Arabidopsis thaliana: one gene and its partner. The protein of the gene in region 1 interacts with the protein of each later gene in a pairwise test. Each region holds a gene or a part of one and is shown in the gene's direction. Other genes may lie near its edges. The genes, in order: ABC4 and AT4G33905.

What was found.
Region 2: the proteins of ABC4 (region 1) and AT4G33905 interact in a two-hybrid assay, tested with the Arabidopsis thaliana proteins (one large-scale study listed by BioGRID).

What each region holds. Positions count from the first base shown.
Region 1 is NC_003070.9:22,318,124-22,334,548, reverse strand, and holds ABC4 (UbiA prenyltransferase family protein), read left to right. Parts: upstream 1-7,189; 5' UTR 7,190-7,610; intron 7,611-7,779; 5' UTR 7,780-7,789; coding exon 7,790-7,879; intron 7,880-7,958; coding exon 7,959-8,183; intron 8,184-8,264; coding exon 8,265-8,368; intron 8,369-8,461; coding exon 8,462-8,533; intron 8,534-8,621; coding exon 8,622-8,760; intron 8,761-8,836; coding exon 8,837-8,943; intron 8,944-9,029; coding exon 9,030-9,129; intron 9,130-9,203; coding exon 9,204-9,242; intron 9,243-9,327; coding exon 9,328-9,438; intron 9,439-9,516; coding exon 9,517-9,582; intron 9,583-9,646; coding exon 9,647-9,742; 3' UTR 9,743-10,112; downstream 10,113-16,425. Other genes in the region: RALFL6 (RALF-like 6), read right to left, coding at 388-633; RPAC43 (RNA polymerase I subunit 43), read right to left, coding at 1,179-1,282, 1,377-1,496, 1,624-1,717, 1,820-1,915, 2,010-2,197, 2,291-2,371, 2,467-2,596, 2,675-2,860 and 1 more; AT1G60610 (SBP (S-ribonuclease binding protein) family protein), read left to right, coding at 5,363-5,471, 5,561-5,928, 6,005-6,550. UniProt on the Arabidopsis thaliana protein: Involved in the synthesis of phylloquinone (vitamin K1). Catalyzes the transfer of a prenyl chain to 2-carboxy-1,4-naphthoquinone.
Region 2 is NC_003075.7:16,247,601-16,262,818, reverse strand, and holds AT4G33905 (Peroxisomal membrane 22 kDa (Mpv17/PMP22) family protein), read left to right. Parts: upstream 1-7,058; 5' UTR 7,059-7,226; coding exon 7,227-7,568; intron 7,569-7,894; coding exon 7,895-8,123; intron 8,124-8,388; coding exon 8,389-8,513; intron 8,514-8,664; coding exon 8,665-8,754; 3' UTR 8,755-9,067; downstream 9,068-15,218. Other genes in the region: AT4G33920 (Protein phosphatase 2C family protein), read right to left, coding at 116-385, 476-712, 1,052-1,428, 1,685-1,943; AT4G33910 (2-oxoglutarate (2OG) and Fe(II)-dependent oxygenase superfamily protein), read left to right, coding at 4,205-4,318, 4,419-4,541, 4,772-4,929, 5,012-5,114, 5,250-5,345, 5,415-5,480, 5,567-5,686, 5,790-5,876; AT4G33900 (Galactose oxidase/kelch repeat superfamily protein), read left to right, coding at 10,108-11,247; AT4G33890 (transcriptional regulator of RNA polII, SAGA, subunit), read right to left, coding at 11,734-12,762; AT4G33885 (uncharacterized protein), read right to left, coding at 13,914-13,955, 14,101-14,163.

The sequences.
Region 1 (16,425 bases):
CACTATGAGCTCATATTTCACTAGCACTGTCTCTAAAATGATCGTATAAGTTATGACCTAGTTCATATGCACATTATTTCCTCTTAACATCTGGACAAATCTTGTTTCCCCACCAAAACCCTAAACAGCTCCTTGCGTCTAAAGCAAAAGCAGAAATTTCCTTCCTAAATTAGGGCTTCCAATTAAACTATTTGGGGGAAAGATACACTTAACTTGGGCTTTAATCGTAGGGGTAAAGAAATCAATTATTAAAACATATAATAAATAAATCCAGGTTACAAAGAAAAATGGAAAGAACCTTACCATAATTAAAATTTGAGTTAGTAATATCACTTTAATAATAAAAAACTTCATATTCGAAAATGATTTAAACATATCATACATCAATTAACTCGAACTCGAATGCTGTTGACGTTGACAACGTGTAGAGATTTCACAACCACGATTGTAAGAGTATGCTGGAATTTTGACACATTCTTTGGGATTCTTACTGCTGCAACCTGGAATTATGTCTCCTTTCATACCATTATAGTTTATATATGTTTGTCCTTCTCCAAATCCGCTGAACAATGATAATATAATCATTACTGAAACAAAGAAAATGCGGATATGACTCTTTTTGTGTGCAGCCATTGTTTTTTGAGAAAACAAAAACAATGTAATTGAAACTTCTTGATATTTTTCTGTGTTATTATATTTTTGTAGTTTGAATACGTGATTAATTATTAATTTGTGTTTCTTTGATTTATAATGAGAAGGATGATTCTAAAAAAAAGACGGCCAGTGCATAATGTATGTGCTGATAGAGTTTCGTGGCTATTTATATGTCATTTACAGTTTTTTCGGTTAATATGTTCGGTTGGTTTCTAGCATGGCAGCAAATTTATCGGCCACAACAAGACTTTCGTGAATATCTGTGTTGTCGTTAGTGTTTGTTTGTTTCGTTGTTGTAAAAATTGATCTGTTCTGTTGTTTCTTCACTCTGTTCAGTGCTTGATGAATGTGTACGTACGTACATCCATCTACTCTTCAACGTTCACATGTATATTCTAAATTTGAACCGAGCCGAAACCAAGTATATATAAATTTCAATGTTCTTTGTATTAACTTCGATACAAAACCCAAAACTGAACTAAACCGGAACCAAGCCGGTAGAGCTAAACCAATTTAATCTCTTTTCAGGAGAGTTCAGAGATTACTCTTTCACATTTATCTTCCAATATCTTCACTGCTTCGTTGAAAAGAACCTCCGGAGGCTGTGATCCCGTGGACTCAATTGTAACTGCGAAAGATGATAAGAAACTCAATTAGAATCTCTTTCAGTACCATGGAATTGCCAGGTTGAAGGAACTGTGTTTTTCTTTTTCTTTTCTTACATATAAAATGGTTCTTGACACGGCGCAGATCCACTTGGTCCTCCCATTCCACTCCATCTCTTATGCATTCTCTACACAACGAACAATCACGCGGCCGAGCTACTGTTGCCCTCTTCCTACCTGTTTTCCACGTTTGCAAGTCAAATTAATTTGCCGCCAAAGTTCTCAGGTTTCATCAGAATCTCTTATTGTTACTCAAAAGCAAGTAAAGACATTTGAAGGAAACTTGGGAAGGCTTTTACTTCACCTTGGCCCATGTCTTCAATGTCAAAAACTTTCTTGGGGCAGACTTTTACGAGTTCTTCGGCATGTTTACCCTCGAATTCCTTTAGTAGAACCACCTAAGATATTATAAACAAAAAGCATTACCGGAAAAGCCTAGGACGAGTCAAGAAGAAATTAATTAAGTCCTTTTCCCAGAAGGCTTATGGTGAACTTCTCACCTCAGGAAGCATTCGATACCAAGCCGTTGCTACTGGGGACCACTTTGCATGTGTTTTACCAATGCCCTTAACGGCATGAGCCTCAAGCTCGATTTCCTGCAAGAAGAAGATGCAAGTCTTTCATCTCTCAACGGAATTAAGTCCTCAAAAATGTCACAATTAAGGGGAAGAGTATAAATAGAAACAGTACCTGGCCAGGGCCAAGTTTTGCTATCAAGATATCTTTTAAGGTTGGCCTGATAGGATTTTCAGCAAATTCAGGGAAGGAATCTTGGCTATGGTTGAATGAAGTGTAAGTTTTTGGCGTTGTGGTTGAACCTCCAGATTCTTTGATAAGCTCACTTCCATTTGGTAACCATTTCAATTCGCTTGTTAAGACTTCAAGAAATAAAAAAATGATACCTCTCATGAGATCTCGAGCTAACAATAAAACAAAGACTCTTCTTGAGCAAACCAAAGAACATATATTACCTTTACGACGCGGGTCACCTTTTAGACATTTCACATGGAGTTTGAAAACAATGGTGTTCTTTTCATTTGGCTGATCGTTTTCTATGACACAAAGATAAACAACAACAAAACTAAGCGTGACACAAAGAGTTTATATGCTTAATGAGATGGATCACATTCCACAGAATATTTCTTACCAGATAAATATTCAAAGAGTCTCGGATCTGCGGCAATTGGAATAAGACCCAACCTGTGAGCAAGAACTTCGTCTTGAATAACCGATGTGTTGTTTGCTACATACACTTTTTCAATAGCCATTGAAGGAAGCTGTAATCAAAGAAACACTATTAACCAAAGATTCTAATAATCAGAGATTCATCAGAGGTAGTGAGACAGTGGGCAGACCTCAGCTAAGAGGATTCTTCGGAAAGCATTAGCGATTCCTGCATGGACACCGATCATATCGAATACCATATCTGTCTCTGTGAGACTAATCACATCAACTTTGAAATCCTCAGAGAAGTTTTCTAGTCTCACACTGTTGTCCACTCCCATAGAGGAATAGGCACCCGAGAAAGTGATAGCCGTAGGCTACAATAAAACACAAAAAGAAAGGGAAGAACATTAAAGACTTCAAATTTCAAACAATCATCACTCAATATCATTCGGATTTCGACAAACCCACAGTGTAATCTTCTTAAATTGCTAAGACCAAACTCAGTAAATTCACAGCTTTCTACAAGCAAGTTTTAAACTTTACTCTGTAAATCTACACGAAATCGATGAACATAGCAAACCCACATGGGACACACTGAGAAAAGCCAATAAATTTCTAGTTAGCTGAACTTATACATAGCTTAAAAAGAGTGTAAATTTTGATCGAGAATAGTACTTACATGAATATTAGAATCCTTCTTACAGACAACGCGAGTTCGCTGGAGCTCAAGATGCGGAGGAAGTCCGGTAGGAACGTCAGGGAGATCAAATATGTTGAAGTTCTTCGCTTCTCTCTTTTCTTCATCAGTCACAATCCTTGTTACTTCGTTAGTCCCCATCCTTCTCTGCAGCCAAGTTCGATTGTGAGAATCCGAAATCAGGGTTTAAGGAGAAGAGGAAGATGAAAATTGCACGATTTCACTTTTCACTTCAATTTCGTTCTTCAATTTCATAAAACTGGAAAATTAGGGTTTATGGACACGTGTGAATACTAGAAAAAAAAACATCCATTTTTCTAATAGCGGCATGGCTTAAGTCCGAACCGAAGCGGCTGAACCGTCCAACCGGAGTTTGGTTGATTTCTGACTTTTAAAATTTTCGTTACCACCAAACCGAAATTCTAATCTTAAGTCCGAACCAAATCGACATTTTTTTATTTTTTAATTAACCACATATTAGTTAAAAGATAATTATATGATTGGTCGCCGAATATGGAAAAAAAATCTACAAAACAAATTTGAGAAAACAGTAAACGAAAAGAACGAACTAAACAATCTGTCTTATAATTAAACAAATGAGATATATAGAAAATCATGAAACGAGAAATATAACATTCGACATTTTGTTTGATTTTCTACTATATAACTTTTCCAAATATAAGTAGAAATGTCGATTTCTAAACAAACCCGATCTGAATAATCATATTCTCCAAATTTAGTTATGGCAGTTCAAACCCATAATGGTGAAGGTTCTCACTCCAGTATTTTTTTTATTATAGCATACCAAGATAACCAGAAGAATGAGCCAAGAAACTAAACAAAACTAAAACCAAAACTAGTTCCAATCAACTCAAACACGAAAGTAGATAAATAACAAACCACATGTGATTTCAAATTTAGTTTAGTCTAATAAAAAACAAAAAGACTAAACCGGACGACCATACATTGGGTCCCTATCGTAAATTAGCAAACAAATTAGTGTTGCCCATTTTAAAAGTTTGAACTCTTCTTTATTTAAAAAAAGAAGAAGAAGAATTGAACTGGTCAGGAAGAAAAAAATAGAAAAGGAGAAAAAGGACAGAGGGAAAATGGAGAAAAGTAGAGTAAAATGGCGTCACACCAGAGAGAAGGCACAACTCACGGGGAAATCAGCAGAACCAATACCACCGCCACCGGTTACTATTACTATTCTTGTTATCATCATCTCCCAAAAAAAAAATGTTAGTATTATTTTCGAGTCTATTTTTCAAGTTTTTGTTTTGTTTTTAATATCTCGACTTTGCCACCCAACTCCTCCCACTCCTTCACAACTGTGTCCTGTCCTCTGCTGATTTCTCACCTTTCCATCATTCATTTCATTCTTTCTTTTTTCCCATCCGTTTCTTTTATTCTTCTTTCTCCTTAAATTTAAAATCTTTGAATTAAATTATTGGATTTTATTGTTTCAAAGCGTTTCTATCATCAAAACCCATCTTCTTCTTCTTAAGATTCTGAATCATTCATTGATTGATTTAGCTTCTCTTCGACTTCTTAATTTTACAGTTTTTTTTGTTTTTTAAACTTTAATTGATGCAAATAAGCAAACTTGGATCGCTGTGAGCCTGTGATAATGATTTCTTTTAGGTTTGTAGGATCTGAAGGAAGCTACGGTTTATTTTTTTTTATGGGCAATCTCTAACAGGTACAAATCTTCTCTTAGCTTCTCTCTTACAAGATCTTTAGGTTATGTCTTGTTCTTTGGAGTTGCTATCTTTCTTCCATGTTCCAGAGGTTTGCCTTATTTTATCACTTTTGACATAATAATTTATTTTGCCTGTTTTTTGTTACTTGGTTTAATATTCAGATGAATCTTTGACCATGATCTCTAAATTTGGTTCCTAGGCAAGATCAAAGAAAGTTCATCACATAGGAGTTGATCATGAACCATAGTTTCCTCAAAGATCTCAACTTTGTCTCTAGTTGGATTGTAATCTGTATTGCTTAGGACAGTTAAATCTTATTACATCTTGGCTCGTCATGTCAAAAGCTGAAGATATTTGAGCTTTCATATCTTACAACTAATTAGTTTCGTATGTCTACAGGTTTCTTACTGTAATTTTTCTGTTTCAGTTCTTTACGGGTATATATATACACATAAAACGGTTAAGCTCTAGAGAAGATGTTGGGAGGCAACAATGATAACCCTGTGCCGCAGGTTCTAATGAACGACAGCCAGTTTCGGTATCAATCAAACACATCGTTGAATCAGCTTCACTTGCTTGGGACGAGTAAGTTTCTGAATTTTGTTATTCATTTGGTTTGAATGTTGTTAGAACTTTATAGAGCTAAAAGCTTGTTCCTTTGTATGTGGTTGCAGTGAGAGCTGGTTGTACTATTGATCCTGTAAACTACTTTGCTAATGATAACCTTGCTCCTATGATGCGGCTTAATAGCACACGCGGAAGGGAAACTGAAAACAACAATATTATGCAGAGACAGCAGAAGCTGCAGATCTCTTTGAATTATAACTACAACAACAATAATACTGTTGTTCAAGATGAAGTCCCAAAGCAGAACTTAGTGTCAACTGGTCTGAGACTATCTTATGATGATGATGAGCGCAACTCTTCTGTAACTTCAGCAAATGGAAGCATAACAACTCCAGTCTATCAGTCACTCGGTGACAATATCAGATTGGACCTCAATAGACAGAACGACGAGCTTGATCAGTTTATCAAATTCCGGGTATTAATTTTATCTACAAAGCGTATGTTTTTGCTTACATATCCCATGTCGTTGAAATTGTTCTCTCTTGGAACAGGCAGATCAAATGGCGAAAGGTGTGAGAGATATTAAACAGAGACATGTCACGTCCTTTGTCACGGCCTTAGAGAAGGATGTGAGTAAGAAGCTTCAAGAGAAAGACCATGAGATTGAAAGCATGAACAAGAAGAACCGGGAACTCGTGGATAAGATAAAACAAGTGGCAGTGGAAGCTCAGAACTGGCATTACAAAGCAAAATACAATGAATCTGTGGTTAATGCCTTAAAGGTAAATTTGCAACAAGTGATGTCACATGGAAACGACAACAATGCAGTAGGAGGAGGAGTTGCTGATCATCATCAAATGAAAGAAGGGTTTGGGGATAGTGAGATTGATGACGAAGCAGCTTCTTACAATTACTTGAACATCCCGGGGATGCCAAGTACTGGGATGAGATGTAAGTTGTGTAACGTAAAGAATGTTTCGGTCTTGCTCGTGCCATGTAGGCACTTGAGTTTGTGTAAAGATTGTGATGTGTTTACTGGTGTTTGTCCTGTTTGCCAGTCTTTGAAAACTTCTAGCGTTCAGGTCTTCTTCTTCTGAGTTGTCTTCATACTCTTGAAAAGTAAATGGTGGATGAACATATTTGTATGTGATGGTGGTGATGAATGAAAACTTGGTCGAGTCTTTCTTTGCTTTTGCCATTAAACCTATATAGCATGATTCTGCTATTTCGTAGTTATTAAGCAGCCGTTCTTTGAACACGAGATAATAATTGAGTTCCGTGTCGTGTGCGATATGTCAAGCTGTGGATTACATTGTTAGAAGAAATTATTAAACTTGTTTTGGCTGATTTTTTTCTTCTTAATATTTTTGCTGCAAAACTTGTTTCCCAAGTAAGGTTATTTATGTACTAAAACAATATTTTTTTAATGTAAAGGATTTTGATCAATATTTCCGTTAGAAAAATACTAATAAAGTTGATATTAATATACATCATATTACGTTTGCAAAAATAAAAAAGACGCAGTTAATTTCCCCATCTGAATATTAATTTTTGGCATTAATATTAATTTGGTTTAATTATAAATTATGTCAACATTGTTTAATTTGTAAATCATGCAAATCTAGTTTACTTGTAGTAGTTTGTACCAACCAAACCCTCAAAGGCTCGAAAGTAATGGGCCTTAAAGGCCCACCTTTCTACTTGTATTTAAAATTGGTCAAAGACACGTGAACCTCACGTGATTTTATCTTCCAACGAGGGAGCTTCTGTTATCCACTTCATCATTCACGTCTCTTCCGCAAAACCCAACATTCAAATTCTTGTCTGAATAACGAAATCCCAACATTTGCATTGCATAGATTCCTTCACAAATCCTCTGATTCTGATTCTGGTCACTCAATTTTGCCTGTTTATTGGCATAATTCGGGCACTTTTCTCTCAGTTTTTGTATAAGGTTCAATGAGTTTGTTCTGTACTTCTGTGTGCGTTATCTTCTCCAAATTAAGATTCCAGATTCGTGGGTTCATGAAAATCTCGTTGTAGACGAGCCAAGTTGAAATATTTTTCCTCAAGTGAATTTTGTTATGATCACGTCGTGGTTTTGATCTGACTCCACTTCCGTCGCTAACTCTCTTCGAAAGATTCGTGTTAAAAAAGGTAAAGTTCCAAACTTCATACTTTTTTTACTTCATCTTACTCATTTTCCATTGTCTCTGATTCATGCCAGAACAAAGATTTTAGTTATAGGGTTCCAGAATCTCGGACTTTAACTCGGAAGTAGTGTTCTTCCTCTGTTAACTGAAATTCTTTCTTTTGTTTTATGCAGAAACCTGAAAATGGTGAATTTTGTTTCTCTCTGTGACATAAAGTATGGGTTTGTGCCCAAAAATTCAACTGATTTGTTTGTGAAACGGAAAATTCACAAGGTAGGCTTAGCACTTCATCCAAAGCTTTGTTCTTTGACAATAATCTACTTTGTACTGTCACTAAAATTACTTAGCTTAGCTTCCCAGCAGAGGAGATGTAATCACTAGATTACCGGTGTTTGGTTCGAATGCACGAGAGAATCTGAATGCTAAACCAAGAAGAAACCTTAGAGTTAGGCCAATCTTTTGTAAGAGTTATGGAGATGCAGCAAAGGTTTACCAAGAAGAGGAGATTCCCAGAGCAAAATTGATATGGAGAGCAATCAAACTACCAATGTACTCTGTCGCTTTAGTTCCTCTTACCGTATGTTTCCTCAAGAAACCTTTCTATGTCCTCCATTGCCTTTATCTGCTAGGGAATATTCACTGTTCAAATGTCACACAGGTTGGCGCTTCAGCGGCCTATTTAGAGACGGGTTTGTTCTTAGCTAGACGTTATGTTACTCTATTGCTCTCATCAATTCTTATCATTACTTGGCTCAACCTAAGGTGATTAATTGATTGATTCCTTTTAACATTTTCGTTGACTGTATTTACTCTTTCATGTATTTACTCTTTCCAAACATGGTTTTATGTTTGCAGCAATGATGTTTATGATTTTGATACCGGAGCTGATAAGAACAAAATGGAATCAGTAGTAAATCTGGTTGGAAGGTAAAGTATTATCAAAGGATAGAGTTTGCAACTTTGAAGTTTATGTTTTTGAGTTCCATCCTAATAAACTGTGTTTTACTTGGAAAAGCCGGACAGGAACCTTAGCCGCTGCAATCACATCGCTAGCGCTTGGTGTTTCTGGTCTAGTTTGGACATCGTTAAATGCAAGTAATATCCGTGCAATACTATTGCTAGCCTCAGCAATACTCTGTGGCTACGTATACCAGGTGAACGTTACTTCCTAGATGACAATTTGATACTAATCTAGGAGATTTCTAACTTAGAGTAATACTTTGTGACTAGTGTCCGCCATTTCGGTTAAGTTACCAAGGATTAGGAGAGCCTCTATGCTTTGCAGCATTTGGTCCATTTGCTACTACTGCTTTTTATCTACTTCTTGGTAGCTCAAGGTAATATCAAAATTTTGTTTTAAGCCTAATCCATTCGTGTTTCCATGAGGTGTTAATAATGGAAGCTTGTTAATCGGTTTTGGCAGCGAGATGAGGCATCTTCCGCTAAGCGGTAGGGTCCTTTCATCATCTGTCCTTGTTGGTTTTACTACATCTCTTATCCTTTTCTGCAGCCACTTTCATCAGGTTGGTTAATGAAAAAGTGGTCTAATGAGTCCTGAAATGACAAACACAGTACTGACTACATTTACATTCTATAGGTGGATGGAGATTTAGCTGTGGGGAAATATTCACCTCTGGTACAAATGTGAAAAAAACTCAACAAGGTTTAATATGAATATGGTGATTGTGTTTATGATTAGAGTTTTTTTTTGGTTGACACAGGTTCGGTTAGGGACTGAAAAAGGAGCTTTTGTTGTGAGATGGACTATTCGTTTACTATATTCAATGCTTCTTGTTCTTGGTTTAACCAGGATTTTGCCACTACCTTGCACCGTAAGTTAACAGATTTGAGAACATGACTGAAATATAAGAACATATATTAAAACCTCCTTTTTGTTGTTGGTGTTTCAGTTGATGTGCTTCCTGACATTACCAGTTGGGAATTTGGTTTCAAGCTACGTTGAAAAGCACCACAAGGTAAGATATTTAGAATTGAAATTTGTAATACTCAAAGTTTTGCTAATCTATTCTTTTAATGCAGGATAATGGGAAGATATTCATGGCCAAGTATTACTGTGTGAGACTCCACGCCTTGCTTGGAGCCGCATTGTCGTTGGGGCTAGTTATCGCGCGCTAGAAATCAGTCACCAAACATTTGTTTCTCTCTTTAGCCTTCGTTGTATCTACCTAAACGTTTAGCCACTACAGTATGCTGTAGCTAAAAGGAAACATTCGAACTTACAACAGTTGTGAAAGGTCTCAAATTAATCACAAGCATGGTGAGCGATTGTATCCTCAATTGTTAAAGTGACGGGTGCCACCATGGATATGTTGAAACATGGGCCATGTCGGATTTAGTGCAAGCCCGTTGACGGCGTTTGTGTTAGGTAATTCAGATTTCCAACACACAAGATGGCCCAACAAAGAGGTTATGCTTGTGTTTGTAGGACATAATTGTTTCTCGATATGGACCTTTCTCCAATTCTTGAATCCATCCCAAACCACTGAAGTTGGATCCCATGTGCATTTAAGAAAATCATTAGAAGGTGAGATCCAGATTTATATTAGAGAACACATAAAACCCCAAAATATTATCATTTGAGAAGCCTATTCAGCCTATGTTATTAGGTTTTATAGCAAAATCATTAGCGGGTTTAGATGGGCTGCTCAAATGATAATATATTAGGCTTTATGTGTGCTCTAATAACTTTGATGGTAATGAGTTGACGGTATTGACCAAGTTGAAGATTGTGGACATTGTTGATTGCAATTTGATTCCTCGTGATCTGTTGTTGCTTTATGAATTACCTTCATGGCCGAGAAGCCTAGTTCATTCTAATCTTTTCACATCCTCTAAAGAATCCACAAGCTAGTAATTTTTCTTAAGCTTTTTACATTTTATTAATTTTCTCAACAAATTATTATATATTACTTGGATCTCAATATTACTTATATAGTACTAATATAAAACATTAAAAATCTTAACGAAATGTATATATTGTTGTTTTATATATATATATATGTGTCATCTTCTAATTATTCTAACTAAACATTAAAAAACTAAAGAATATACAAAGAATATCAAAATCGTTCAAAAAACCAAAAGTATCAAAATTGTCAATTTGTACAAGTCTAACACAAAATCGCAAAAGACATATTGGTCAATACAAAATTTGGTAACAAAAATTAACCTCTTAAAGGAGGATCAATCTACAAGAAATCAAAAAGTGTCATTAGAGGAGAATAAATGAATAGAGACAATTGTTCAATAGTTTGCTTTTGAAGGTTGGTAATTCAAAACTAATATAAACTTCTTGTATAGAAGACTAAGTAATTATGTTTTACATGTATATGAGGAAAAGTGAATTATGGTAAGATTCGAAGCATATCAACAATGATGTTATTAACTTTGACTCATTGGAGACTGATATGAAGTTATTGATAACATTTAGTTCATGTGACACGATTTATAACCAATTACAATAGGTAAAGTAAAGTTCTATAGTTTTCTATACAAGCAAGGTAGATTATTTTTGAATAGTTTTAACTTATCAGCCTTCTAAGCAAATTATTCATACAAAAGGTGTTCCTCTATATAGTCTATATATACTTGTTTCAATTTTTAAACTATATTTGTACAGGATTGTTCTACTGCGCCGACTCACCAATTTTTTGCTACATCTAGCAACCAGCAAACCCAATCTATCATTGCTGACACATTTCAAAGCTTACCACCATTCGTTTTTCCTACCTACCGTCACAGTAGGTAAAACATACTTCCATAGTTTTCAATATAAAAATTTAGACTAGCAATAAATTACCAGCCTTCAAAAATAAACTATTTTTGTAAATTTTCAAATTGTTTCTGTTCATATATTTTCCTCTAATGCGATTTTTTGTTTTTGGTTCAGAGTGATATAAACCATATCTATTTGGTAGCTCACTAATCTCTTTTCGGCGTCTTCGGCAAAGGACTTTCAAGATCCTATAAAAATAACATTGTATTGAAAAATGTATCCTCAAAATTTTTTGTGTAGCACCACTAACCTTGTTGGTTTAAGGATATAGTGGAATATTGCTAGTATGACTGAAATAAATATGAGAATATATCTTTGATATCAGATATAAGAAGTAATATTAATATAGTTGAAATCATATATACAATCAAATATAAAATCAATAAAATAGCTAGTATAATTTATGGGTGCCTATACTATAATGGGATGGCATGTTTTATGATTTTTTATCTCCGTCAAATTGGATGTATATGATTAACCTAATCAATTACATGTATCAAAGAAATGTACATGCACATATATTAATACATCCTTCATATATATATTGTATGACACAGTTATTTTTAAATATTAGTCTTAATCATGCTCCAATGTTGAACTTATTAGATCTTTTACCAGGAATTGGACATCAATGATTTGGCTGGATCAGGACATTTATCAAACCAAAATAAACTGATTATACAGAAAGTGAAGATGGAACAAATTAAGGGCATGGACGCATGGTCATTCTCCAACCAACGAATAGACAATGGACTTCACTTCACGTCTCACGGGAAAGTTAGAATAAAAACGAAACACAACAAATAAATAAATAATCACGAGAATGTCTTAGTTAAAAGACGGCATATAGAAATATAAGAACGCAGTGTACTTAATTTTGTAAAACCATACGAGAAAACAAAAGACAATTAAATAAAGTCTCCCAGAAAGTCAGAAAAATAATAGCCACATGAAAAAGAAAAAAATCTGCAGATTATCGTTTCTATGTCTCGTATTCGTATAGTTTTATTACTTTTTTTTGTTGTTAAAGTTATAGTTTTATTACTTTATAATTTGATGTTTTAAAATGAATGATAATAAATAAATAAAAAGACTCCAACTATTAATTAAGTTTGTAAATTTTAATATCCAAACTATTATAATACCTAAACAAAAAACTGTTATAAATTAAGTTATAATACATTATTTTTATCACAAACTATACATCTTTTTGAAAGTTGTGAAATAAAGATTCTGTTAAAAAATACATAGAAAACTATTAATTAATTTAGAGCAAAACAATAAACGGTGAAGTGATGATTGTTTTTTTTTTTTCTTTTTGGTATAAACGATAATAAAGTATACACCGTGTATATCAACAAATGTGCACACATGCAGTTACGTGTAGTTTATCATATACGCATAGATAGAATATATTACTATAAATGTTGGAATTTATATGAAAACCTCGAAGACAGGTAACACATATTGGCATATATAACAGATTACTTCTTTTGGCGTATCAAGAAAGAGGTACGGTCCACATATATTTTTCACATGATCAAGAAGATTGCCCAATACCACAAAGAGTCGAGCTCTGAAGTCAAAGGAGGGCTTGTAATAATATTGTATTCCTTTATATATTATCCAATTATTATCTTTTTTATCAACTTTCAATGAAACCACCAATTAGGAGTGTGGAACGAAAATTCAATTAATTCCACACAAAAAATGAAGATAACCAATCAATATAATCTAGCTATGAAAGAAAACACAAACGCTATTGATAGAAACGATCATCACTAATTAAATATAGCTCACAGTAAAATCCGTGTCTCATATCTACATCTAGCTAAAAACAATCTACTTGGAATTTCATTGAATTTTGAACATATGCATTGTGGTGGTGGAAATACTTCTCTGTTTCAAGAAAAGCCAGTGCTACGTACTAAATGGTTGCACGACAAAACTAACCTATATATTTATTAAAAATATAGCTAACCAATAAATTTATCAAACATATGCAGATTGTGGTGGTATTATTGAAGAAAAAAACAGGGATAGTAAATGGTTTTATGACAAAAACTCCCGATTCTTCAAGATCCTTCAAGAATAAATGAAATGAAAAGGGTTATTGTTTCTTATACTTAATTACTAATACGTCTCGTGTAGCAATGAACAGTGACATTTTATGAATTTAATGAGAAAGGAACATTTTATGACAAGAACATTAGAAAGTTATGAAAGCATCTTGATTTGTGTACATATACAGACACACACAAATTTGTCATAATGCCCATGGGATCTCTCCCCTCACTCATATTCACACACATGGACTAAAGTTCAATTTTTTATATTCTTCTTAATTATTAGTATAGTGTTTAATCATATGATATAACTGGTGATCGTTTCTATCAATAGCGTTTGTGTCGTCTTTTGTCACCAGAAACGTTTCTGTATCATATTTAATGTGCTTCCATACATTTATTTAAATTTATGGTTACATCTAAATTTATTATAGAATGTATACTCTAAAATGTTATCAGTATAATAGAATTTCTTTTACAATTTGCAACATTGAATCATAAATTACTTTTCTATTTGGTTGGAATGCAAGGGAGGAAATTTTCTAGTCCCACAAATAAAAGTATAATTTTTTGAAAACATTATTCTGTATAATAGAGATGTGAGAAATTACTTTCATCTCTTTCCATATCATGATTCGCCAGTCATAATCTTTATCATATAATTATCAACTTCTGGATATATGATCTTATATTTTGAAGAGCTAATTAACTACAAAATTATAATACAGATTCTCACAAATTAAATATAGAACAAACTACTAAGCCAACCTTTTTCTTTAATAAGTATACGGGTATAAATAGCTAAATTTTTTTTTTTATCTCTTTTGCATATATAATAGATATATTATTTGATTTATACTCTCTTTTTGTCAAATATCAACCAAATATTTTTTGATTATGTGTGTGTTGATGGTAATTTTCAGTTATCATATATTCATCAATCATGAAGTGACATGTGGATTTCAAACTCGCAACCAACCTTGCGAAAAGCAATCTCCCGCCCATCTCAATATATACTGAGACGGTGAGACATATAGCAAAACCAAACAAAAATTAAACTCTCTTAGTCAAAGAAAAAAATGAAAACTTTGGGCCTTTTTTCTTAAGATTTTTCAAAACTAATATTGGACCATTGGCATTTGCCTACCATGCCTAGGAGCAGAAACGAGCGAACTCCGTAATCACTAGACAACTTGTTATGTAACATAGCCAACCTTCAATATAAGAGAACTAAGCTATTTAAGTAGAGATTCTAGGATACAAGATCATATATATCGAAATGTACTCACGAGAAGTGAGAAACTTGTAAAAATTGTTTCTTCCAATCACTTCTCAGCATTCGACAGCGTGCAAGTGCGAGAAATAGAGATAGAGAGAAATCGTGACTTGCGATTTAATACAACTTATTTAGAAGGTTGATTTCTTCACATCATAACTAATGAATTATTAAGTGCGACAAGAAAAAAAAAGAAAAGAAGAACTGTTAAATATGCATTTTCATATAAGACAAAGAAAGAAGATAAGAAAAGTTTTTAAAAGAAAAGTTGGAGGAGTTGTGGAGACAATAGCAAAGCCCGTGAAGTGGTGCATGTGATCACTAAAAGAGATGTTATAATCAACTGCCCATTGACAAAAATATAGACCCAATCACATGTCTCATCCATTTTTACATGCACACACACATATATATTACATATATATGCAGGTGTGCAATGTTTCTCTTGGAAGAAACTAAATACGACAAAATTACCTCTTAAGAAACTGTCAAGGTGAGCTCATCATTAAAAGAAAATAACTTTGGATTCATTGAATATCAACTAATAGGGTCTTAATAGACACATTTTACGATGAAAGCAAATTGAATGGAAACATGCAGTTTTTTTTCCTTTAAGTTAACATATTAAAAGGTTTAAATCAATAATATTCTTAATCTAGTTAAACATTAGATACAATATTTTCATCAACGAAAAACATTTCTTTAAATGAAAAAAAAAAATCTATCGATGCAAATGGCAAATTGCACGTATAGATTTCTTACATTTTTCATCACTGATAAATTGCAAAAATTCTGTAATTGTTGGTCTGATTATAGAGTGCTAGAAAACCGCAACTGGTTTGTAACATGTAAATATTTTAAAGTTTATTGGTCCGTACTAAAAAAAAAAACTAACTTTATAACCATTCTGTTCAAAGTTCTTATATTATGAATTAAATTTATGATTCAAAAATAATGATAAGGTGTATATTTAACTCAAAAAAGTCACTCAACACACTTGTAAATGAAGATAATTTACACATGATGAAACGAATTCGTGATAATTCAATATCCTATAGTAAATATAGAGACCATAAGACACTTATCTGATCACCACGATGGCACATCAACAAACACATCTATACAAAAATGTTTATCCCTATATGTATACATTAAAAAAAAACCACCTCATTTTCACGTAGCCCCACTCTATGGTGCATCATATGCCTATATTATTGTCATATATAAGTGAGTATATATGTATTTGTATGTTACTAGATGAGGTTTTGCAACAGGAAAGGTATATGTGTTTGTCTGAACAGGTGCCTCTTTGTGGTATGTTTGTCTTGGCTTGCTCTAGTGTATGTTTCAGCCAACCATAGTGGATGAGTCTCAACCAACCTTTAGTATACACGTGGCGCACACATATCCCCTGAAATTATATATCCTAATTTATAAACTAATAATCTCCAAAAAAACAGATAAAGAGAAACCTAATCATCTCCAATGCTATTTGTAAAATCCTGACCGCAACTTTTAATGGGTTCCATGTCATTTTTCGACTCATGGGTCTAATCTCATACGACGGCCAATTCGCTACATACGGAAAGTTCAAAATCGGGGCGTTACACTATCACATTTATGATAACAACTATTAATATGTAGATATGTGTTTATTTTGCGTCCGAAAAACTGATTCTAT
Region 2 (15,218 bases), on another chromosome or scaffold:
TATTGAAAAAAAAAAAAAACCAGTTCTTCGTAGAAAAACAAATAAACAAATATGTAAACAAGTTTTCTCCCTATTCGGATCTTTCCCAAGCAGCCATTTTACCATAATCAAACAGTCAGTATAACACATTGAGTAACCGTCGTTGCTCTGCTTCATCAGAGTGTAATGAGTAGATATCCGGTGGAGCGGTGATACCTCCTTGCTTCACCAATTTACTATTCGATGAACTGGTTTTGTTTTGATCTAGATAAACTACAATAACGCTTATGTCGTCATGGAAATGTCGTCGAATTCCTTTGGCTATTTTCTTTATATCTCCATATCTCATTTCTCTCTTCTTTGCCGCTTCTTCCAGAGCAGCTCTTACAAGTCTTCGGGCAATACCCTGTAGAACACAGAGTTAATAAATAAATAAACTAAGTAGCTAACATAAATGTGAAGATACAAAGCAAACTTGAGTTTAGGGAAAACTTACAGTTCTTGGGTGTTTGAGGACGATTTCTACGGCTGTTTCATCACTAAGATGTTCCCAGAGACCATCTGATGCAAATATCAGAAACAAGTCCTGTGGCTTAAGCTTCCTTACTATAATGGAGGGTTCGGCTGTCATCGCGGGTCTCCTCAAAGGAATGGGATTTCCATGTCGCTGGAAAATCGGGTCCCTGTAATACTCCGGTTTTTTCAAGTATACATCCCCAATTGATCTCGATACCTATAAAGAAGCGTATATGAAAACGATTTAGCTAACTAATATACAACGAGCTCAAACATTCACGGAAAGGTCACAAGCAACTAAAAAGCATGTATCTTCATTATTATGTATAGCTCTGACTACCGGGAATTCTTAGAAAAGCACAAAATCCACTGGGGAAGAAACGTTGCAGGAGCCCGTGTGACGGATTCCTGGAACATTGCAAGCCCCCATTTATATAAATGAAAAGAGAAAAGAAAAAACAACATCAGATTACACCTTTTAAATATTATAACTTCATCACAGATGCTATGTAATCACACGCAATTTAACAAGCAGGCAAGCAAAACTAAGTTATACCTGAATAATGCCTTTAATCCGCCAAACTCCACGTGTGTATAAGACGATTTGTGAGTCATCAGGGTTAAGTGCCTTAACCTCCTTTCTCACTTCTTCAACAGCAACATTATGATCAGTAGATAACCGTTCAGCTACGGCACCTTTATTACTATCAACCCCTGAAACAACGCTTCCAAGAACGGCTCTCGAGTCCCCAAGATTAGCAACATACAGTGTGTCATTAGAGATTGCACCAACAAGACAGCAAGATCCTACAGTAGCCATTTGCGGTTTCATGGGAAGGGATCGTTTAACCATACCACAAAACTCTTCTTCTGTTTCTTTGAATGCCTTTTTGATAACATCTACAGATAATCCCCCATGTTCTCTTGCAAATTCTGCAATCATAAAACCAATCCTGTAAATTTCACTAACAAGAACATGACTACAAAATCAATTCAAGAGGCAATTTACAAACCTGAACATGTTCACAAAGACCAAAACTTCATAGCAAAATTCGAATCTTTTAATATTGAAATGATCAGGGTAATAGAGATCTCATAAGTTTTGACCATCAAAAACGTAGTCAAAGAGTCAAAAGAAGAAAGAATCCTAAAACAAGTTTAGGGAAGGAAGAGTGGGATTATAACTTACTGTGCATATAAGGAAAGAGATGTCTGTTAACGAATCTAGAAGCTTCAGGTCCACCATGACCATCGTATACACCGACGTAAGTAGCAGAAGAAGATGTGAAAACCTGACTCTGATCTTCAAGCCTGGAATTGGCTTGAACCACCGCGATCGAATAATCACCGCCAGCGTGAGGTCTCAATTCCGATTGCCAGAGTAAACCATCACCACTAGCTCTGCTTCCCAAACACCGTTCGAGAGGCCGTGCTAAAGCTCGCAACATCACAACCTACTTAGGGTTTTTCTATACAGAGAGATTCTGAGTGCAGTAGAGTTAGAGAGAAAGAGATAACAAGATTTTCGATTCGATTGGATGAGAGAAATCGAAAGGTTTTTTTTTATTGAATTTTGATTCGTTCGTTTTTGTTTGATCTGATCGGTTTTAAGGGATTCGTGTGTGTGTTGAGTTGGTGGTGGTAAAAGAAAACCGCGTGAGGAAGAAGAAGAAGAATATTGATAGAGATGACTTGTACTTGTGCCGTTTCTTAGAAGGCTACGTAGACTACGCGTCGTTTTGTTTTAATTTCGCCCTCCCCCTTCTCTTTTTTTTTGCAGTTTTTTTCAACGCGTTGTTTATTTTTGTTATTCTTCTCCATTTAGCTTTATTTTTCTCAATAAATAGACAAAGTTTTGGCCCAAACATAAACGTCATTGCCGTATATTATACTAAAATATCTTTCTTCTGGAACAATTCAAAAACTTAAATTCTGATTCGGTCCAACAAAAAAATATCTAAATTCAACAGCTACTTTTATTTCTTTTTGAAATAGGAGATATTATATTAATGTAGTGTATAATATATATATTTATTTATATGTGATTTACAGAGTCAATGTTTGAATATTATTTAGAAATAGTAGACCCTTTTGAAATATAAATTCATGTCTACGATGAGTAAAGAATCAATTAAATTGTTCATGTCTACAAAAATGTTTACATCGTCTGCAAATAGCAATAAATTAATTCTATTTTGTGTCTTATATATTTTGTATTTGAATATATCAGTGGGAAATTGTTATAATGAGCGAATAATGAATGGGTAAGGATGAGTAACCTGTAGCCAACGTGTAGCTGATATATTTGCTTGTCAACTAAGAAAGACGGATAACAACTGAATACAATTTCTTGCTAATAATCTAGTCATCTTAGTATCTATATTATTATTAACCTAATTTTATTATCACGTTACCGTTTCCGGTATAAGAAAAAAAACATGTTCTGGTCAAAACAAATCTTTGTGTGCTGTGTTCTAGAGCATACTATTAAAACGATGAATATTATTGCTTATGGAGTAATTTATATTTAATTACAAGTGGCACATTTTTATTTGGTTGTTATAAAAAGGTTTGCATTTTGGGATTAAGAAATTGACGTGGAAGGACTTATATATATACGCGGAAGCAACTGGAAATTCATTGGCCCAAGTTGTCGAACTTTTTTGATCATGATGTTTACCTTTACATTTATAACATTATGGATGCGTATTTATCGTTGTTATGGATCATAGGGTGATTTTCAACATATATAGATCCATTCATTTTATTTTTTTTAACATTTGCATATCCACTCATATTATACCGATGCATACAAGATTCATCAAACAAAAAAAAACTTAATTAGTACTACTATTATTTCTGTCAATGCTCACTAAGAATCTCTCTAGTATCACATCTCTCTTCAGTGAACAATGCTCTGTGAACCCCAAGAACCAAACATTAAATGAGTCACCTTCTTTCTTAAACAACAGTTCTATAGCCCACAAAGAGAGCTCCTTGAACCTTCTTCTCGACACAAAGGCTACTTGAATCTTCTTCTTGCTTATTCTTTTCTAAACTCAAATCTCTATATGAAAATCATTTGTAGAATGGTTACACATTTTATTTGGTTATCAAAAAGAAGTTGCAAGAATATAGACTATTAGTTAAGAAAATAAACTCATTTGAAATTTCGTTGGATAATGTATTGATCTCGGCTTAAGACTCTCTAATTTGACTGTATATAATTAATAAATAATCATTCTTTACTTTTTAACCATAAACACAATTCAATGTTGGACTACATATCCACCTTACATTCTAAGATCGATTCCAAGTCATTATCGACAGCCTGAATGAAGCAAAACAACTCAAAAGAAGCCCACCTAATTCAAATCACAAAAACGTTCAAGTTCCATCGAACCAAAACTTAAACCACTCTACGCAACCAAACTTCAACCAAAAAAAAGGATAAATTCGGCGCATTTTTTTGTATTTGTTGACCAGTGAAGAAAATGACAAACTGGTCAACGAGATCTGATCATTAAACTATAAAACAATATATTTTAAAGTAAATAGAAATTTGTGGTGCTTCATTGGATCGACGAAAGGCGTCCCGATATTGAGGTTCGTTACGCCGGCGAAGATTTTCATCGGAAACTTATCTGATCGTTTACGCCGGCGAAGATTTCCATCGGAAACTTAATCTGATCGGAAGGAAGAAGGCTCGATGAAGAGCAGATTGAAGAGCTACAGGAGGAAGAAGCTAGGGTTAGCCACAGTTATCGTCTTCTGTTCTCTCTGTTTCCTCTTCGGTTTCTATGGCTCCACTCTACTTTCTCAGGTGTGGAAACTCTCTGATCTTTTACTCTGTACTCTTTAGATGTGATTGGAGTCTTTAGCTTGGTTTTGTGACTAATCGAGGGTTCTATGTTTGGGATCAGAATGTGCCTCGTGTTAAACCCAGGTTGAGAATGTTGGATATGGTTGAGAATGGGGAAGAAGAAGCTAGCTCGATGCCTCATGGTGTTACTGGAGAAGAATCTATTGGATCGATTCCTTTTCAGGTCTGATTTTGTTGCTAATTTTTTGACTTTTAAGATGTTTGGATTGGCAAATTAGGTGAAATCGATTAGTTAGGGCAAGATTGTGCATTTGATTATCTAATTGAACTTTGTTTTTTTGTTCATGTGTGGTGACCATGAGTGTGAGTGAGAGTATTGTGTTTTTTAGCAATTAGTCAACTAGTGAAATTTAGTACTTCATCTTTATGGATTATTTGGTTTAAAATTGGCAGGTACTTAGTTGGAGACCTAGGGCTATATATTTTCCGAATTTTGCAACTGCAGAACAATGCCAAGCTATTATTGAGAGAGCAAAGGTTAATCTGAAACCTTCTGCTTTGGCTCTCCGGAAAGGAGAAACTGCTGAGAACACTAAGGGCACTAGAACAAGGTCTTTCTTTCTTTCTAGTTTCATGTTTCGAACATTCATCAGTAGCCTCAGTGTTTTTGCCTGGTGTGTTGTTGTTATACAGCTCAGGAACTTTTATCAGTGCTTCAGAAGAGAGTACTGGTGCTCTGGATTTTGTTGAAAGGAAAATCGCAAGAGCTACGATGATCCCAAGGTCCCATGGAGAGGTATGATTCTCTACTTCCCAAATCTATGTGAATCGTAAAACTAAGGCATGTTGAAAGTGGCAAACGTAGGCTTGATGGCCTTTGGTTTAGTGCTTATCACCCCTTTAATTGTACGAGATTTGATGTTTTTGGCAGTCATTCAATATTTTACGGTATGAACTTGGCCAAAAGTATGATTCCCACTATGATGTTTTCAACCCAACAGAATATGGACCACAATCAAGCCAAAGGGTAAAATCCTTAAATCTGTCATATTTATAGCTTTCTTTAGAACCCGAGACCTCATTTGAATTTACGCAGATTGCCTCCTTCCTGTTGTACTTATCTGATGTTGAAGAAGGCGGTGAAACCATGTTCCCATTTGAGGTCAGTTTATAATATATTATTTGCTTACTTATTATACAGACCCTTTCGTTAGTTTTGATTCCATTTAAACGCTTTCTATTTAACAGAACGGTTCTAATATGGGCATCGGATACGATTACAAGCAATGTATTGGGTTGAAAGTAAAGCCTCGGAAAGGAGATGGTCTTCTTTTTTATTCCGTGTTTCCAAATGGAACGATTGATCAGGTAAACAAAGTTTGAACACATTTCATTTCTTCTCTTGACTCCTATTCCTTGGATTAGTTCATGCTAATAGGAGCTCTTTGCTGTGGTTCCAATGCTTCTGCAGACTTCGCTTCACGGGAGCTGCCCGGTGACCAAAGGAGAGAAATGGGTGGCAACCAAATGGATCAGAGACCAAGACCAGGAAGAATAAGTTAGGTTTTTTTCCATATATCTATCTCAGTCTCACAGCTTCTATCTTTTGACTAAAAATCTGCTGCTGGATCCCTCGTGTACAGTTCTTCGCTGAAACAGTGTAACTATTTAGCTTTCTTATAATGCGAATGATACAAAAATTAAAACCTGATAATGAAAACTTGGTTCGAAATATCATTTGAACAATAGAAGTTTCTTGTTGTTTGATATTTCAGTAAAAGAAATATAAGAACTTATAAGATTAACACAGAAGTGATGACAAGTGTGGATCGATTTGGGTGTTCTGATTACTTGGTATTGAGTATTTACTGCTCGTTTGAGTCCGTCAAGTCTCTTGTTAATTTGCAATGTGTACTAATTTTTTCCCTTATAACTTAACAAAATGTGTTGTATGATTGTATTTGTATCTATTAAATGGAAAATTATTTTGTCCATGTTATATATATAAAAAATGTATCTGAGCTTACACACCAGGGACCATCTTTTTATTCGAGTTTTTGTGGACACATGAGTCATGAGTGATACCGATAATAATTTTTGTTTTTTTTTGTGTGTGTGACATCATCTACGTTTAGTTTGGTTTAGAATCTTCGAAAAATTGCCGACAGAAAATAAGAGAATCTTCTCTTCCAATGATCTACGTTCTTTTTGACTAAATATATAAAAATAAAAGAGTTCATAAAAAGTGGCTAAAAGTCGGAACTTGGGACACGAACGCAACACGTGGCTTCTACTAAAGGTTAGCGTCACTGAATTAAGTTTTACGTGTCAGAAGTGATGACGTCGACACTAACCAATGTGAACAGGACGTGTAAACAACCCTAGAACACTACAGAACAGAAACAGTTTGGGGATGTTTGGTTTTTGAACCGTCCACCTTTGACGGTCACGCGCTCTTCAGCCTTCAGGCACTCTTTCCTCCGCCTAACATAGAAATTGGAAAGGTTATTTTCTCCAATAATTTGGCTTGGCTTTTGAGTTTATTGAGTGATTAGCTAATAATAAATAATAATCAATTTGTTGGCTTATATATAATCAATGTGCTAAGTAACACTATAGCTTTCACAAAAACTTCGGTTATTAGGAAAGATCTCGACAATTCTGTATCTAGAAAAGGCATGATTAATTAATTTATTAAGAACAAAACTAATTTATGAAGAACGATTGCAATGGTACGAGACGCGAGTAGAAAAACCTTTATACTCGCGAAATATACAAATTGTGTGTTTCATTATTTATTGGCATTTAAACTTTTTAAAAAAACAGAGCTCTGTTTCTTCTTCTCCACCGCCGTTATATATAAAACCCTTCCCTGAACCCCCAAAACTCTCGGAGCCATCACACGACAATGACCGGCGCATTGTTTAGAAACGCTGCTTCCGACGCCGCTCGGATCTTTCGATTACAGCGAGCAACGATGACGAATCCTTTTGGAAAGCTCGACCCTTTACCGATAGGAGGAAACATCCAGCGATTGCAGTCGAGGCCTTTTTATCGTACGCCTCAGTTTCTCGGGAAAGCAAAGGAAACAGGTGTCTCTGGTTTCTGTTCGTCTTCGTCTTCGTCTTCTTCGACGGTCTCTACAGCAGGATTCATCGGATGGTATTTGGGAATGGTGAAATCTCGGCCGGTTCTTACCAAATCCGTCACGTCCTCGCTTATTTACATAGCAGCCGATTTGTCTTCGCAGGTAATTTCAAAAATCTATCTCATTTTTGTTTTGTAAGCCTACAAATCAGATTTTAGATATTCTGTGATTATGTTCTTGTTGATTCAGTCCTAAGATTCCATTGTGTTTTCTAACAAATGGTAATAGTAGAAGTCACTGTATCTCCATTGTGCTTTAGAGATTTGAGATAGGACAAGAATTACTTCTAGATTAAGAAGTAATGATCGATTCTTAGTAATGTGGATGTAGTAGCGGGTTTTATGTGAATTGAGTTGTTATATTTGCTTACGTTTCTTTGTTCTTGTATTGTTGTTGACAAAAGTGTGACTTGTTTGATCTTTCAACAGACAATTCCACAAGCTTCAGTGGATTCTTATGACTTGGTAAGAACAGCAAGGATGGGAGGATATGGGTTATTAATCTTGGGTCCTACACTTCACTATTGGTTCAATCTCATGTCAAGTCTCTTCCCAAAACGAGATTTGATCACAACGTTTAAGAAAATGGCCATGGGACAGACAGTCTATGGGCCTGCCATGAATGTTGTTTTCTTCTCACTGAATGCAGCCCTACAGGGTAAGCTTTCAGCTGTACATGAAAAATAATCAACTGGTTCCTTTCTTATAGTCTATATATTCTTCTTTGAGCAACATATAAAAGTATGATTTTTCTGAAACTCTAGATCCTGTTGACCTTCAATCTTAAGGGTTGTTATAGAGCAGGTTGTTTGATGTTACATTCTTTCTCTAAATGGCGTTTGAAGAGAGGAGAATTGTTGTTAGAATTTGATCCTAAGCTATTCTTGATGACATCAAAGTCTGATTTTCAATTATTTTTTCAGGTGAAAATGGTTCAGAGATAGTTGCTAGATTGAAAAGGGACCTACTTCCCACAATGCTTAATGGTGTCATGTATTGGCCTTTGTGTGATTTTATTACTTTCAAGTTCTGCCCTGTTTATTTACAGGTATGTATGATTGATACCTACCACTTTATTTCCAACTTAGCTTCACTTTGGTTAACCTTTTGTTCAAGACAGATCATATATTTGCTGCATTCATTTTGTCTTATCGTGAGTTTTGGTTATCAACTGAAGTCTGGTTTCTTTTTGTCTGCAGCCACTTGTGAGCAACTCGTTTTCGTATCTATGGACAATCTACATAACTTATATGGCAAGCCGTGCGACGCCAACCGCCATTGAAATTTGAAAAAGCTCTCTGGGAAACTCTCTCAGTTTAGAAATGAAGAAATGAAGCCAAAAAACACTTTTACTAAAAGAAACAGGGCATTCTTCAACATTCTTTGTTTCCTCTCTCCAGATTTTAGGAGGATATAATGTAAGGAGTTTTGGGGAAAACTGTGCATTTGGACATGTCTTACACTCTTAGATTTAATTCAATTCTATGTTTAGTATTCCATGTAATATTTGAGTAAAATGGTGGTTCTTTAGCTTCGATCAACTTTTTGAGTCTTTACCAGGCAAAGGAAACTGTTGACACAAGTCTTTTATATTAATCCTTAGTTACATCAGTACGGTTAACAAAGACGGAAAATTTACACGAGACCAACGGAGTCAAACCAAATGCTATGTATGCTAAAATATGGTTTTTGTTCTCAATCTTATACGCGTCCCAGATTGGTAGGGTAGCAGGTAGCAGTGCGACAGCTTGTAACAAAAAAAATTGATATGCCAAATGTATTGTTTTCTCATAACAGTAAGTAAAATTTTAGAAATTTAGGGTCCTTTCTTGTACGTAGGTCCGCATATATATCTGTACCAGAAGAAAGAGCACACAAAGAACAAAACAAAACAATTTAGTAAAAAGGAATGATAAAAAAAAAAAGTAAATTCTTCTAGTTCTTTTTTTGAATATCAGTAAATTCTTCAAGTGAAGAGAATATACGTTTTGTTATAGAAAATTAGAAACTTACTATACTTCCAAACACGTTGAAAAACTCCCAATGAGATTAGGAATCTATATATAAACAATATAGACAAGAATAGTCGAGACAAAAAGAAGCTTATGCAAAAAACAATTTCTTACTTTTTTTTGTTTTGTTAAAAAAAGCAAGTTCTTACTTAATAAGCAACTGATGCAGCGCATCTTTGCTTTGTTCACGCCTTTGATGGGCCTCGTCGTGACCAAGCCTCTTTATTGTTTCTCATTCATGATTTAGTAGTTTATGGACTTTATTAAAGATGTGGGCTTTACGTGTTTGGCTTTTAACTTCTTTTTAGAATTAGGGTCTTTGTTTCTGATTCTTATTTAAAGAATCCTTACGTTGTAGAATAGATTAGTTTTGGATTATTGAATAAAGAGTTTTAAGAGAGCTTTCTATAAAGCCTAGAGAGGAGGACTCTCAACCCTAAGGGCTTGCAAAACCAAGTCGATATCACTACCGATCTCGACTTTATCTCTATTGCTTCTTCATCAAGTTTTGACGTTCTAAGCAAGATCCGTTTGTAAATCCGAGTTCTCCTAGAGATCTTGTGTTCTCGTCCGATATTTAGCTTCCGCTCTCTATCAACAACCGTAAGAGAAAAAAAGTGATCAACAACCATGGAATATGGAGAAGAACCCTCGATTAAAAGATTTCTAATGCTTCCTGATGATTTGGTATTTAACTGCTTAGCTCGCGTCTCAAGATTACATTATCCAACTCTCTCATTAGTCTCCAAAAAATTTCGCTTTCTTCTTGCTTCAAAGGAGCTTTACCAAACCCGAATCCTCTTAGGCGGAACGGAGAGTTGTCTTTACGTGTGCGTACGACTCCATACCGATTCTGAACAACTACATTGGTTCATTATCTACCAGGGACCAAATAGCTCCAAAAAAGTTTTGGTCCCGATTTCATCTCCCAATTTTACTTCCGCAGCCCTGCCGGGTTTTGTAGTGGTCGGTCATGAGATATATGCCATTGGCGGTGGATCAGAGAATAAAAACGCTTCGATAAATGCAACTGGATCAAAGACTTATAACGCTTTGTCTAGCGTTATGGTTATGGACTCTCGTTCTCACACATGGCGTGAAGCTCCAAGCATGCGGGTGGCCCGTGTGTTTCCATCTGCTTGTACCCTCGATGGGAGAATATATGTTACGGGAGGCTGCGAAAATCTCAATTCAATGAATTGGATGGAGATTTTTGATACGAAGACTCAAACTTGGGAGTTTTTACAGATCCCTAGCGAGGAGGTATGCAAAGGCTCTGAGTACTTAAGCATAAGTTATCAAAGAACCGTCTATGTAGGGTCTAGGGAAAAAGATGTCACTTACAAGATGCATAAAGGTAAATGGAGAGGGGCAGACATATGCCTGAATCATGGATGGAGTCTGGATCCATCATCTTGTTGTGTGATAGAGAACGTGTTCTACCGTTGCAGTCTTGGGGATGTACGTTGGTATGACCTCAAGAAAAGAGAATGGGCAGCTTTGAAGGGTTTGGAAGGACTGCCTACTTTTACTAATTATTATAGAAATTTTAAATCGGCGGATCATTGTGGAAAATTGGCGATTTCTTGGGAGGAGTATGTGTTAGTTGATGACGAAACAAAGATTTGGTGTGCGGAAATTGCGATTCAAAAACGCCAAAATGGAGAAATTTGGGGAACGCTTGAGTGGTTTGACAATGTGTTTATATCCAGTGGACCAAACCGTCATGTGGATTTATTAGTGAATGCTCTTACTGCAACAGTTTGGTGAATTGAATCAATCACCCATGCATTTTTTTAAATAAGTTGATCGTTTGTCTTCGAGGCATTTGGACATGTCTCATAGTATGATTATGTCTTGCGCTTTTTGTTTTAAGCTTTTTACTTCAGTTTGGGTTTTAACATTCCAATGTAATATTTAGTGACTTTGACCAGACAAATGAAATATTCACACGAATCTTTTCAAGAAGCCTTTTTTGCTTTCATTATTAACTTTGTTTACATCAGAGAGCAAACAAGGAAAAATACACATGAGAGAAAAACAAATCAGCTAAACAAAATGTCGTTTACTTCAAAAAAAACTCTTACTTAAATCTCACTCTATTATCTGAACTTGTACAACATCAAGAAGACCCACCCTTCTTCTCTTCAAAACCTTCTTCCATTGAAACTTGGACCATCCCAGTAACTTTTTTCAACAGCGCAAACCAAACCAGAAAACTCAAATGCTATGTATCTAACCTATGATGTTTGTTCTTTACTTATCTGAAGCACGGGAGCAGATCTTCTCCATATGCATAGGCCAATCTTCTCCAAGTATCTCAGTATTCAACTCCATACCAGCACGAAAATCTGACATCGATACATATGAAAGCCTTCTGCTTTGCTGTGTATACTGGTAATTCATCTCTCTAACCCGATCAGTCCCACATCGAGTATTAGCCAAACTCAAACAAGGCTCAATCAGCCTTCTCATAAACACATCCAATCCGCTATTAAGAAGACTAACAGAGTCCATAGTTATCTTTAGCCCCTCCATCTCCAATCTCCTCTCCAACCGACTCCTCAGCGTTCTTGTATCAGGTAGCTCACCGTTGTTCTGACAAGTCTCGCGGTTGAAACTTCTGCTACACATAGACACATTGGAAACAGACTTTCTAGTAGCTCCATTCCTAAGACTCATAGAAACACCAAGCGGAGCAGTGAGAGGACACCGGCTCTGAACACTTGGACTTCCTCCTGCTATTTGTTCAACTTCTTCTCCTTCCTCCACAGACACAACTTCCACGGGAGGTCTACTTCCTAGAGACAACAATTCAGTAGCACTTTGTGCCTTTGACATTGACTCCTCATTCGTCGTAGTTAAACTATGAGGCTTCCCAAGTGGACCAAGTGGACTTGGCCTGTCTCTCAACTTCCTTGACCTGCATTTACGAGTCGAAGGAGAAAACGCAGAATCTCCATGAAGCGGCTGAATTTGACTGTTCTTCTTCGAATCCCCATTACCAAATCTAACAAAGCTCCCACCTTTCTTTATAAATGGTGGAGATTTGGCAATACAAGCATTCTTGATGATGGAACGTATAAGACGGTTATGAAGATGGATGTTTTGTCTACCAATGGTCTTGATGCACAACTTGTCGAATTCAGATTTGGTGATCTTCAAGGCAAAGAATCTTCCGAGCTGATTGAAGTAACTCTCAGCTCTTTGATTCCCAATTTCCCGGTAAATGAGAGCTTTAATCTCTAACGTATCTAACCTGGAAGAACCTTGATTTGATCCCATCTTCTACAACTAAGTTGAACTAAAACCACATCTAGAAAGTTTCGATTTTTAAGATCCCAGATTCTCTCTTCTGAGCCAAAAACCTAAAAACCCCAAATTCTCAACACATACCTGAAAAATCAGATTCCGATAATCAAAATTGGGACGATTTCGAAATTGCAATCAATTATAAACTAGGAATAGAGAAATCGAAGAAGAAATTGAAAGAGATCGAAGCGTCACAGGTAATTTCGTGAGATTGAGAATCGAAAGAGGGAAGAAGAAGATGGATCATTAGAGAAGAAACATACCCAGTGAAAAAGGCTTCCCCTTTGTGCCCTAAAGGCAAAAGGGACGATGATCTTGTTTGTTTCTTCGTTTCATATCGCTTCTCTTCTGTTTTTTGGTTCTCCGTGTTTCCACGAGAAAGTCTTCGTCGTACGTGAGAGAAACTAAGAAGTAAAAGAACATGTTGGACTTTGGACAAACTCACACGTGCGTAAACTTAAGTGAAGTGTTTTCTGATTTCTCAATAACTTTGCTGGTTCAAACTAAACTTTTGTATTCGTTGGATAATTTTGCTTCATTGATCTCTCTTTTAATTTGTTTGTCACTTGTCTTGTTAAGTGGATAAATCGTTAAGTACATCGTTAACTGTGAACAGCTATACTTATATCTTTGTTTGATTCACATTGCCACTAGTGTCATCTATAATAAACCACCATTCCAAAGTACTTGGTCCCTTAGTGGAAGGATTTAACAGTTGTTATATGGTTCTTAAGCAACTATCAACAGAGTAATAGATAATAGCAACACAAATCTCAAATAGTAGAAACTCAAATCTATATGATAATCATTTGTAGAGAACCAAGATTGAGTTTAAAACAAAAAGCTAAAAGATTCAACAGCTCAAAAGCCTTATCGAAATAAATCCATTACAATTTTAAAGCTTGAAAGTTTCACATGATTGCTCCTCATAACACCATTGGTCTTTAACGGTACTGCAAACAAAGGAAAACAAAACCAGAAGAGTTAATCATCTTTCCAAGAGAGTGAGAAAACATCATGGACCATTCTCATGGAGATACAAAAGACAATCATTCAACATGTTTACCTTAATGAATCCGATTTCCTTGGCGTTGCTACGGAAGCACTGTCTACAGCAATTAAGACTATACTTCCTGATTAATCCATGGGAGTTTCCACACACACGGCTACAAAAATCCATGGATTTCAAACTTACCATTAGATTCCTCAAAATCATCACAAACCATGAGTCCATGACTATAAAAAACATGCTCCTACTTATTCTATATGGCAGATCACAATAAGTAACAGAGGTTATTGCATGCACATTACCAGGTGCAAGATCCAGGTCCGTATTTTTTTAGGATGAGAATTCCAGACGTTGGAGTGACCCATGATTTTCGATTTCTCAGAGCTCGAAGCTAGAAGACGAGGACCAACAGCGAACACTCGAAATAAAATTGAAAACCCCAATTTTCGTATGCGACGGCCCTCATAGTTGGTTTATATAGGTCCGAGCGGAACAAAACGAAACGCATTTTCATTACATGGTGGGCCGAATATTACAGGCCCACTTTAAATGGACATAAAGAAGATTTAAGACTTCTTTTTTTTTTCCGCAAGAAGATTTCAGTCAGATGAATATTACAGGCCCATTTTATATGGATTAAAGTAGCGGAAACTTTAAGTTTAACTGAATAATTTTTCTCAAATAACCTATAAATCTGAAAAGTTGATTTTAGTACATTAATGACGTTGATTTTTTTTTCTTAAAAAAAAATCTAATACATCTAAAATTTCTAGCAAACTCAAAATTTAAAAATGTTACAACACGAAAATGCTCTGAATAGTGATATGAAACTAGGAATAATCACAATATTCGCTTTTTATTTTAATATTTAGAAAATACAAACAAACAATATGATTTGGGGAAGATTTCAGTAAAGTTGTCATATTTACTATGATTGGTTCTAAGCGATTTCAAATCTTTTAAATTTGTAAAAAAAAAAACTGTCAAAGTATTAGAAGTAGAAGTTAAGAAAACGACAGATGAATATATAATGAACAAGGAACAGTCACAAATATCAGCTTCGGTGTCAAATAATAAAAATAATAATCATACAATAGACTATGACTGTTGTGAATTTATATAAAGTTTTGCATATAGATATATGTATGAAATTTGTGTATGTGGTGCATAGTTTTGTTTAATTAATTCCCCAAATACTAGGAAAATGACTTTTCCCGTTCTCCATTTTGTAATTTGTTTTATTTTATTTTATTTTGGTTGAATTTGATAATTCGATTTGTAAATCTTATTTATGCCTTAGCTGTTAACATCAAAAATTAAGACAATAAAAATATTTAAAATACATTGAACGAAAGTCAATTATAATTTAATAGGTGATAAAAAAAAACCAAAGTCAATTGTAATCTAACTGGTTACAAAA